Oryzias latipes: one gene and its partner. The protein of the gene in region 2 purifies or fractionates together with the protein of the main gene of each other region. This does not show direct contact. Links are inferred from orthologs where the notes say so. Each region holds a gene or a part of one and is shown on either strand. Other genes may lie near its edges.

Region 1 (4,432 bases), on a different chromosome or scaffold from region 2:
TGCTCTGAAACTAAAGAAATCAAAATCTAATTCATATTTAACAGGTCAAAAACACAAAAATTAGATTAGATTCAATATTATTGTCATTGCGTGAGTACAAGAACAGGCATCAAAATATTAAATTCTAACAGAATTTTCAAATTAGTTTAAACATGACTATATTTAAACATTCAAAATAAAACTCTTCCATCCAACGGTTAAATGAAAGTCAAAGATGTCAGCATCCCAAATAAACACTAAGGCTTTTTGTATAATAAGGAATATTGTTTTGTTCAACCAAAGACCTTGGATAAGGGACAATTTACATTAAGGTTTCATGATAAGGAGGCGACAGAGATATAAAAGAGATGAAAATTGGACATACACTGCCTGCCCACAGATCCTCCCTCTTTCCTGTAAGTTTGTGGTAGACAAAAATGATATCTCCACGTCTGAAGCTTAGAAAACGGCAGTCGTTACTCTTGTGGTCCCTTATGGCCTGAACCCTGCTCATTAGGCCTACACACACAAACACAAGTGATCAGTTGCATTAAAATGATTAAAATGTCTTTAATAAACCAACTAAGCTAAATTCATGCATAAAATATAACAGTATTTTTTAGGAACTTCAAACTATTTTGACACAAGTGTTTGGACTTACTTTCACACTCAGAATCTCCACAGATCTTGTAGTCGGATAACATTCCTGGATTTATAAGAGGCAAAATCACAAACGTTAGACCCACAATCCAACAGAATTTATGTAGCAGGGAAACATCCATTTTGGGTGCTTTAGCTGGAGTGTATCATAGAAAAAGTCCCATATTTGAGAAGAAATCCCTTTGACCTGCTGTTCAGGAAAGTGGACATTGACTCTGTGCTGTTTCTCTCATGAAACCTCACTAGTGGTAAACGAAAGAATGGAGATAAGATATAACGCTAGCATGAAGCTAATAATTAACAACGTTGCTCGTAACCTGATTGCAGAACAAAACAATTTAGCTCTAATGTCAAAAGTTTATTTTTTTCATTCACCAACTTGATTTGAAATTTTTTTATTTATTAAACAGCTTCTGCGGTTGAATTGAGGTATAATAAACGTGTTTAAATGCGCAACATAAAATGCTCGTGGACTTCGTTCCTTGTCGCTGCCAAAGTTTCAGGCGCTGTCACGTCACTATGGAAACAAATCTCGCCTCGCGCACAAAATTGGCGTCATCAAATCTAGTTTGAAAAACAAAATGGCGCTTGTTGGACAACAGTAAATACTAGCATCTGCCTAGTCTTCGTTTTAATGTCCTGATTTCGCTTAAGAGTTTTACATTATTAGCGGAAAATGAAGTCGGATGTTGAGGAGTTAATGCCAAGGCTGCTTCCGGTGGAGTTAGGACAAGACACCGAGCACGTAGACCTCAGCGGTCCACCGAGGAACCCCCAGGAGTACTTGCGACAGGTCCAGTAAGTTCTCCCTTCTGTTCTCATTAAAGTGGAAAGCCAGTGTTTTCATAATTAAAATGCTTTAGAATAGCAAAGCATTGGTATAAAAAAAATTGTATAAAACCAAAGTTCCTATTTACAGTCTATGTATCGAACCGTGGAATTAGCTCTCCACTTAGTATATTTAAGTGTTTCTGTTGTTTCTTTTCAACAAACTTTATTATCAATACTTATTGTATTAACTGAATAGAATAATATAGGTAAAAGAAAACACTACACAGGTTGCACAACACGTGCCACCTGTACTTTAATAATCAGTCCAGTCCAATTATTTTTGAACATAGAATATAAGTAAATAAAATATAATATGCCGTTTCTTTAAAATATCAAATGTTCTTGTCGCCTTCAATATGGACTGCTTATATGTATGAATGAGGAATGTCCCAAAAATAATGAACAGTTCAGTAACAAAACTTACCTTTTTGGGCAAACCATGTAATTAAAAATATAATATGACATTAAAAAAAGAATTCAGAGAGTTATATTAAATTTTGTGGTTATAAATTCACGCAGATCCGACCAAAATTGCTTGGTGTACATAGAAAGAATAAATAAATGAAAATTGTCTCCTTACTTGATTGGCAAAAAACAAAATTGTTCTGTTTATTTTAAATCTTCTTAGTGTATCTTTAACTGGGTAGAAAGCAAAATAAAACCTATTTTATTTTAATATTAATACAGTATTTATGAACAGAAGTATTAGTCTTTTCCCAATTTAAATCACCCATGGTTGAATACCAAAAAGATTTAGCAGCAAGAAATTCAACTTCTTCTAATAAAAAGATTATTGATTTCAACATCTGTGAATGACTCGTTTTAGAAATTGAAGAGAAGATATTAGCTGTGTTTCCCAGTGACCCCTCACCTCCTTGTGATGTAGGTTGGAAGCGTCCATGTGTCCAGAGGTGGTGGTTGCTCAAATTGACCCTAAGAAACTAAAGAAGAAGCAAACAGTCCATGTATCTGTAAGTGAAAATCTATTTATTTGGTCAAATCTTTATTTGTTAAGGCTTTGTCTGTGTGGTGAGGTCATGTATAGTTGACTCTGCAGCCAAGAGACATGATAATCTGGAAAACCATATTTTCTGTCTCAGGTAGCTGGGTGCCACGCTCCCCCAGTAGGTTTCTCCCCCAGCCTTCACTGGCAACAACAACAAGTCAGTAATTTTTCTGACGTGAGACGGGTAAGAAAAACTAAAAGAACAGTGTGTTGCTTTTATATCTCACTTATATTTCTGCTTATAATGTCTAATTTTTTAATTTACTAGAGCATCACCAAGAATAGAAAACATTGGAGCAGCCAGACTCTGGATAATAATGTACGCATGGTAAGATGTCAAATCCCGCTGCAATGTTAGCAAAGGTCAAAGGTGCTCATTTGCATAATATTTAAGTGTGATCTTTTACAGCCAAACCTTACAGATGAGGAGGGCTGGAAGAAGTTTTGTTTAGGAGAGAGGATCTACTTGGGCGCATCAGCCTGCCCCACAGATGCAAAACCAGAGGCAGAACTGGACTATAGCAAGGTTGTCAACTAAACTGTTGTTAGAATTTTTAAACGCCAAAGTTTTGAAACAAAAAGTTTCAAATAAGACTTTTTTTCTTTTTTGTTAACTTGTTCTGTCCAACAGCTGAGCAAACAGATCAGAGCTGAAGGCCTCTTGTGTTTGAGAGATTTTACTGTTACAATAGGGGGTCATGAATCTTCTGACACACAAGGGGTATATTTATTTAAACTCTTCTGTATTTGAGGGTAAACTTTATTTATATTGATTATGTTTGTATACCTGTTTTGAAAAGGGAAAAGGGGGGGGGGGTTAAAGGAAGTTGGAGCATGATCAAAGAAGTAGAGTGGGGGTAGATTCAGAATCATAAAGCAAAAAGTTGCTGGAGGTTTATCATTATTACTGTCAGATTAAGGCATTAGTCAAAAGGAGCTAACAGGTATGTTACAAACATACCTGTGTGAAATCTTCACATTCCATATGTCAACACATACACGATACAACTACAGCTCACACAAAAATACTTATGCATACATAAAGAGAGAGGAGCCAAGAAAGCACACCAACTTGACCGAGGCAGTTTGACCAGCCAGGGCTCTCCATGATTGTCTCATTGCTGACCCCAACCCTCTGTAGTCCCATCCTGATGGAGGACCCCCTTCCCAGAGGACAGAGCCAACCAGTCTACCAGCCCCCCCCCCCCCCCCCCCCCCCCCCCCCCCCCCCAGATCCTGCAGCCATGGCAGGTGTCACCCAGAGCAACTGCAAACCCCAAGAGGGTTGCCCCACCCCGTCCCAGGACCAGAAGAGTGCAGAGGTGCAGGCCCAGGGTCTCCTGCACCTGGGCCTGCACCTCCTCCTCCTGTCCTAACCCCCCCTGAAAAGACCACTCCCCAAGCCAAGCCAGACCCCCTCAACCGCACCGACCAAACTCTCCCAAGACCATGCAGTACCCCCACCTGCCCACTTCCAGGCGCCCAACCAGGTCCCCCTAACTAACGAAGCCTCCACTGCCCCCCTCCAGCCCCAGAAATAAGGCACTTTAATAGGCATGTTACATTGAGGGACAACGTGAAAACTAGATTTTACTGATGTGTTTGTTTTCATTTTTTTTCAGGTTGGGTTTCCTCCATTCTTAACCATCGTATGCAGACTAAACCAGGTAATTGTTTTTTAACTGAACAGATGATAAAAAAGTAATTTCAATCTTCTTTTGAGTAAATAAGCTTTATAAAAATGTAGAACATAAAGGAGCAGGGATTTGGCAAAATCTCAATTTGTGGATGTGAAATGTGAAGTAAAGACCCACTCAGATGAAAATTGGGTTTTTAACATGTTCTTGTGGTATTTTCTGATGATGGCCTTGTATGTCACATAGCCACTACTTACATTTGCATTTTCTTCATATGAAATTTTGGTCTTTATGTGAATTCAGTTTTGAGCTATTTACA
Region 2 (4,707 bases):
CTCGCCGACATGCAGAGTCTGGATTTGCTGTGGGTTTGGGTCTGACATTCCACTGCAGGATAGCGGGAGGCAGGAGGGCGCAGGGTCCGAACACGCGGTTTCCATCCACGTTGAAGCCCGCTGGGCTGTAGCTGTGGATCAGGATCCCATTGTCTGCTTCCTTCCTCATCATGGACACCGTGGTTCGCTGGTAAAACTCATCATCTCCAGGCTCTAACCGATACGCACGAGACAACAATGGGCTGCACCAAGAAACGACTGAATTAAAAACAAAACTATTGGCTGGAGATGCTTTGGGGTTTATTAAGCACTTCAGATGTTTTAAAGGAATTAAACTGTCGCTAAAGTTGCTAAAACGTTTGATTTGTTTCAAGATAACTAAGCTGAAGAAGATGAAAACAAATACAATTTGAAGGCAGCAAAAGAATGCAATTCCTAGTTTTACCTAAGCCTCTACCTCTTGCTGAGAGCTCTCTGTGTCCACCCTTCCACTAGCTTACAGCCCCGCACAACCCTAACCTAACATCACTAATGCAACAGAAATAACCACCAACATCGGAGCTGTCCAGTCGTTCAGTTTGGATCCAACTCAGATGAGGAAAACAAAGACGTTCGTGGATCTATTTGTCTGCATCAGAATGGAGCAGAGCAGGAAGCTCGTGTCGAACCAATCGCAGCATCTAGACCACAAATATGATCTTTGGGAAACGACACTTTCTTTTGCTCCTGATTCACAACAATTTATAGTAAGAAACGCTCAGTAAAATACTTTTTTAATTTCTTAAAATATGTCCTATACCACAAAAACATGTTAAAGACAAGAAAAACATAATTGTTATCGAAGTGGGTCTTTAAAAGAAAACACACCAACTAGATTTTATATATTCTTTAAAAAAAAAAAAAAAAAAACATCAAGGGGAACCAAGACATTAATTTGAAAGAAAAGTACTAAAATAAATCAGCAAAATCTGTTTGAGATGGACTGAACATATGAAAAAGGTTCACAAATGTTAAAATTGTCACAATGACAACTTATTCTAAACCAATTCTCAAATTTAACAGCATAATGGGCGCTTAAGTTCTCATAACTAAAAAAAAAAGGTTGATTATGAAGCTTTTCTGTTTATTTGTAATGCTCACGAGACTGCTTACTAAATTAATTTAAAAAAAATGAGCAAATTGAAAGAAAAGCCGAAATTAAGCAATCACTATCCCATCCATACCCTTCATCTTGTTTCATCACAACACAAGTTTAAATGTCATTGCCAAATGTTCTCACGTGATCAGAATCTCACAGTCAGAGTTATTTATCTCTAAAGCTTTATATTTATATTATTAAGATTAGTCAGAAACCCCCGTAGTACCTGGAGAAAGCAGGTGCTGCCCTGAAGGACAACAGGAGGCCCTGAGAAGACTTCTGCAGCAGAAACCTGCTGCAAACTGCTGCGGCCATGTCTGAGAGGAGCCGGCGACACACACGGGGGAAGGATTTCAGTGTGACACCACCGTCGGTGTCATGTCTGATGGAGTAACCGGCGACACACACGGGGGAAGGATTTCAGTGTGACACCAGCGTCGGTGTCGAGAACCGCACAATCAAACTCTTCTCACTTTTTCACTAAAAACAAATTCATAAAATAAAACAGTTAAATTAATTCATGTGACGAGTTTTAACCAGTCTGACGGGGAATCAATTTGAGGTTATTTTGTGAATCACAAAAATCCATTAATGTTATTAGTCTGAGAAAAGGGGTGTTCAATGTTGTCCTCAATCTTTGGACAATTTTCAATCTTGAGGTTAATTATAAACATTTTAAACTGTAGATAATGAAAAAAATGAAAGTGCAAAGATAATATGGATAATTAAATCGCCCCTAATACCAGAAATTAGACTCTTTTGCAAAAGTATATCTGGAATATTTTGGAGAGTCGCTCTGATTTTGATTAGCGTGCCTGGTGGGCGTTTCGAGCACAGCGCCCTCTGGTGGCGTGTATTGGTATTAATCGGTCAGGTGACCCCACCGTTGTAAATAGACTTCAGCGAGCCTCTGCAGACATGCCTTTTTAGTCCCTTTAAACCGCCAACAGCACAGCAAACGTTTCCGCTAGGGCTCAGTTTTTCTCCCGCACAGCTTTTCTGCCGCTCGTTGACGGAGCTGTAGGGAATCATGTACCGCTCTCTGTATCCCTTCCGATCCACGGAGCCCAACTCGCTGTACTTCGCGGCCGGAGAGAGCTTTCTCATCCTGGAAAGGAGCAACAAACACTGGTGGCTGGGATCCCGCTGCAGCTCGGGGGAGACCGGATACATCCCCTCTTCGTACATCGAAAAAATACAGGTACGTGTACGCCACAGACCCCGCGGTGCCGGTGAGGACACCGACGAGGCGGTGGGGTTTGACCGCCAGTACGGGGGGGGTGAAGGCGGACCCGGAGATGCAGCAGGCCGTGTCCGAGCCGGCTGGAAAAAACGCGCCGCAAAACAAGGAATTCTGGGAAGTTTGGTTATTTTTGCCACTGCGCAGGTGACACGCTGCCATTCACTTATGTACTTCATTCTACACAATACAATGCAACAAAAAATACATATTTTTGAGTAATAAAAATAAACACCATTTACAGTTTCCTCCCAAAAACGTTATTAACAATCGGCTATTGACAATCGGTCAAGAAAGCCCTACAAATGCTGTGCAGCACATCAGCAATCAAATCAATTCAAACTAATTTTATTTCTAAAGCACCTTTCATGTAAAGAAAACAGCTCATGGTGCTGTACAGAAACACCCACACACCCACACACACACACACACACACACACACACACACGCGCGCACACACACACACACACACACACACACACACACACACACACACACACACACACACACACACACACACACAAACACAAGTAAAAGAGAAATTACAAAAACCAAAAGAAGAAGAAGAAGCAAAAAGCTCAAGAAGAGAGAACCCAGAGAGAAAATCATCAGTCTGGAGGTTTTCATGGTCTTACTAAAAATGCAAAGACAAACATAGAATGACAGTTTCTTGTAGCCGTCATATTTTGCATATGTTCCTATGTCGTGTTAAATGATTTTAAGACCAAATAGAATAAAGTAAAACAAGGTTGTGAATTGGACCATTTACTGTAGTAAATGTAGAATTTCCGCAAAATAAAAAAAACTGTTAAATAGTAAAAATGACGTTTCTGGACATGACATCAAAAATATTCAGATAAATCTGATGTCAAACCTTAAATGAAACTTCTTTTATTGTTTTATTTTTCCTATTTATAAATATTAATTAAAGGTTGCATTTAAAATCCAGTTTTTACTGCAACAAAAATATATTTCTTCAAATTTACGCCTAAATGTCTTAACAGAGTTAGTTTTTTTTCTTTATCTTTGTATTTTGTTTATCTTCCTATGATTGCTTGATTATAATCAACGACGTCAGGAAACGTCCAGAGGTTTTGGGGCCAGACAACAGCTCACCGATGGATCTGGGATCTTTGCCAACAGCATTTCAGAATCAGCCGTCTGTCTCCTCTGAGTCACTCCTCCTGTGTCTGGATGCAGGCGTTGGGTGAACCGGTCCCAGCCCGTTTGTGGAAGACGGGCCTGCTCACACTGGCAGAAGAGGAATGCTCTCCTCTGCCACCATCACAGAGCTTTAACCCCCCACGTTAACATTGAGAGTGGGGTCATCTGGACCCCACAGGACAGCCCAAGGGTTTGAATGACGGTTGCAATGCTGTTCTCATTTCTTTTGGCCAGAAGGCGTTCAAGCCCTTAAATGATGTCCTGATAATTCAGCTCCTTCATCTGCTCCCTCTTCTTCTCCGTCTCAGGCTCCCGAGCAGGATGAGGTGCTGCTGTCCATCGACAGAGCCATTGAGGGAATCCACAACGTGGCCTTGAAAAACGGCGGCAAATACAATCTGGAGCAGCGGGACGTTCTGCAGTGAGTTGAAGGCACGGACGTCACGTGGGGCCGTCGACCTCCGCACAAACGTTGGGTTTTCCTCTGTGTCGCAGGAAGTTGATCCATCACAGGAAGGAGACTCTGGCCCGCAGAACCCCCTCCTCCGCGGGCCACAAACCGGGTCTGCCGTCGTCCAACAGCGAGATTTCGCTCAGCCAGACCCCGCCTCCTCCTCCCAACGGCCTGAAACGGGAGTACGGGCGGCAGGGCAGCATGCCGTTCTCGGGCAGCATGGACAGCATGCAGGGAGAGCAGGGCTTCTACCAGGTAACGTCCTCGTCCGGCCCCCACCCACCTGCAGTTCTGCTGCCCCACCTGTGGGGGGGTTATGGAAAGAAAACCCTACTTTAACCAACACTGAAGTTGAGTCAGGAGAAACGATAACTGTTCCCAAAATACTGAACAATAGATTTTAAATTAAAAGATACATTTTTAAAAATTTTTTTTCAAGTTTTGTTCTTTTTCTTTTAAGAAAAATGTAAATCTTTAGCAGAGATTTGACCCTTTTAACTTTGTGAAGGTTTGTTCAGATTTTTCATGACGTATTGTCCCATTTGTGTGTGTTCTGCTATCTAGAACACACATAGATTGTTTCTATTCCCTTTCTGGATTTATTAAGTACTTTTGGATCGATTTCATCAGGACGGATTCTCTGAATTGCTGCCATTTTTTCCCTTCCTTTTTAGAAGAAAACTCAACAAAAAACTAAATTCAAACTGATTT

Evidence for each region.
Region 1: the proteins of nckipsd (region 2) and gemin2 purify together in Homo sapiens (co-immunoprecipitation; 3 studies listed by BioGRID and IntAct, counting the BioPlex papers as one, with this or other methods). This does not show direct contact. The link is inferred for Oryzias latipes from reciprocal best matches to the Homo sapiens genes NCKIPSD and GEMIN2.

The regions. Positions count from the first base shown.
Region 1 is NC_019880.2:19,642,986-19,647,417, reverse strand, and holds the start of gemin2 (gem-associated protein 2), read left to right. Parts: upstream 1-1,183; 5' UTR 1,184-1,315; coding exon 1,316-1,437; intron 1,438-2,341; exon of another isoform or gene 2,342-2,356; coding exon 2,357-2,441; intron 2,442-2,570; coding exon 2,571-2,660; intron 2,661-2,744; coding exon 2,745-2,804; intron 2,805-2,885; coding exon 2,886-3,002; intron 3,003-4,098; coding exon 4,099-4,143; intron 4,144-4,432. Other genes in the region: transport and Golgi organization protein 1 homolog, read right to left, coding at 365-498, 641-761. UniProt on the Homo sapiens protein: The SMN complex catalyzes the assembly of small nuclear ribonucleoproteins (snRNPs), the building blocks of the spliceosome, and thereby plays an important role in the splicing of cellular pre-mRNAs.
Region 2 is NC_019863.2:1,717,745-1,722,451, forward strand, and holds the start of nckipsd (NCK-interacting protein with SH3 domain), read left to right. Parts: upstream 1-1,859; 5' UTR 1,860-2,168; coding exon 2,169-2,339; intron 2,340-3,850; coding exon 3,851-3,963; intron 3,964-4,037; coding exon 4,038-4,251; intron 4,252-4,707. Other genes in the region: ndufaf3 (NADH dehydrogenase [ubiquinone] 1 alpha subcomplex assembly factor 3), read right to left, coding at 47-172. UniProt on the Homo sapiens protein: Has an important role in stress fiber formation induced by active diaphanous protein homolog 1 (DRF1). Induces microspike formation, in vivo. In vitro, stimulates N-WASP-induced ARP2/3 complex activation in the absence of CDC42.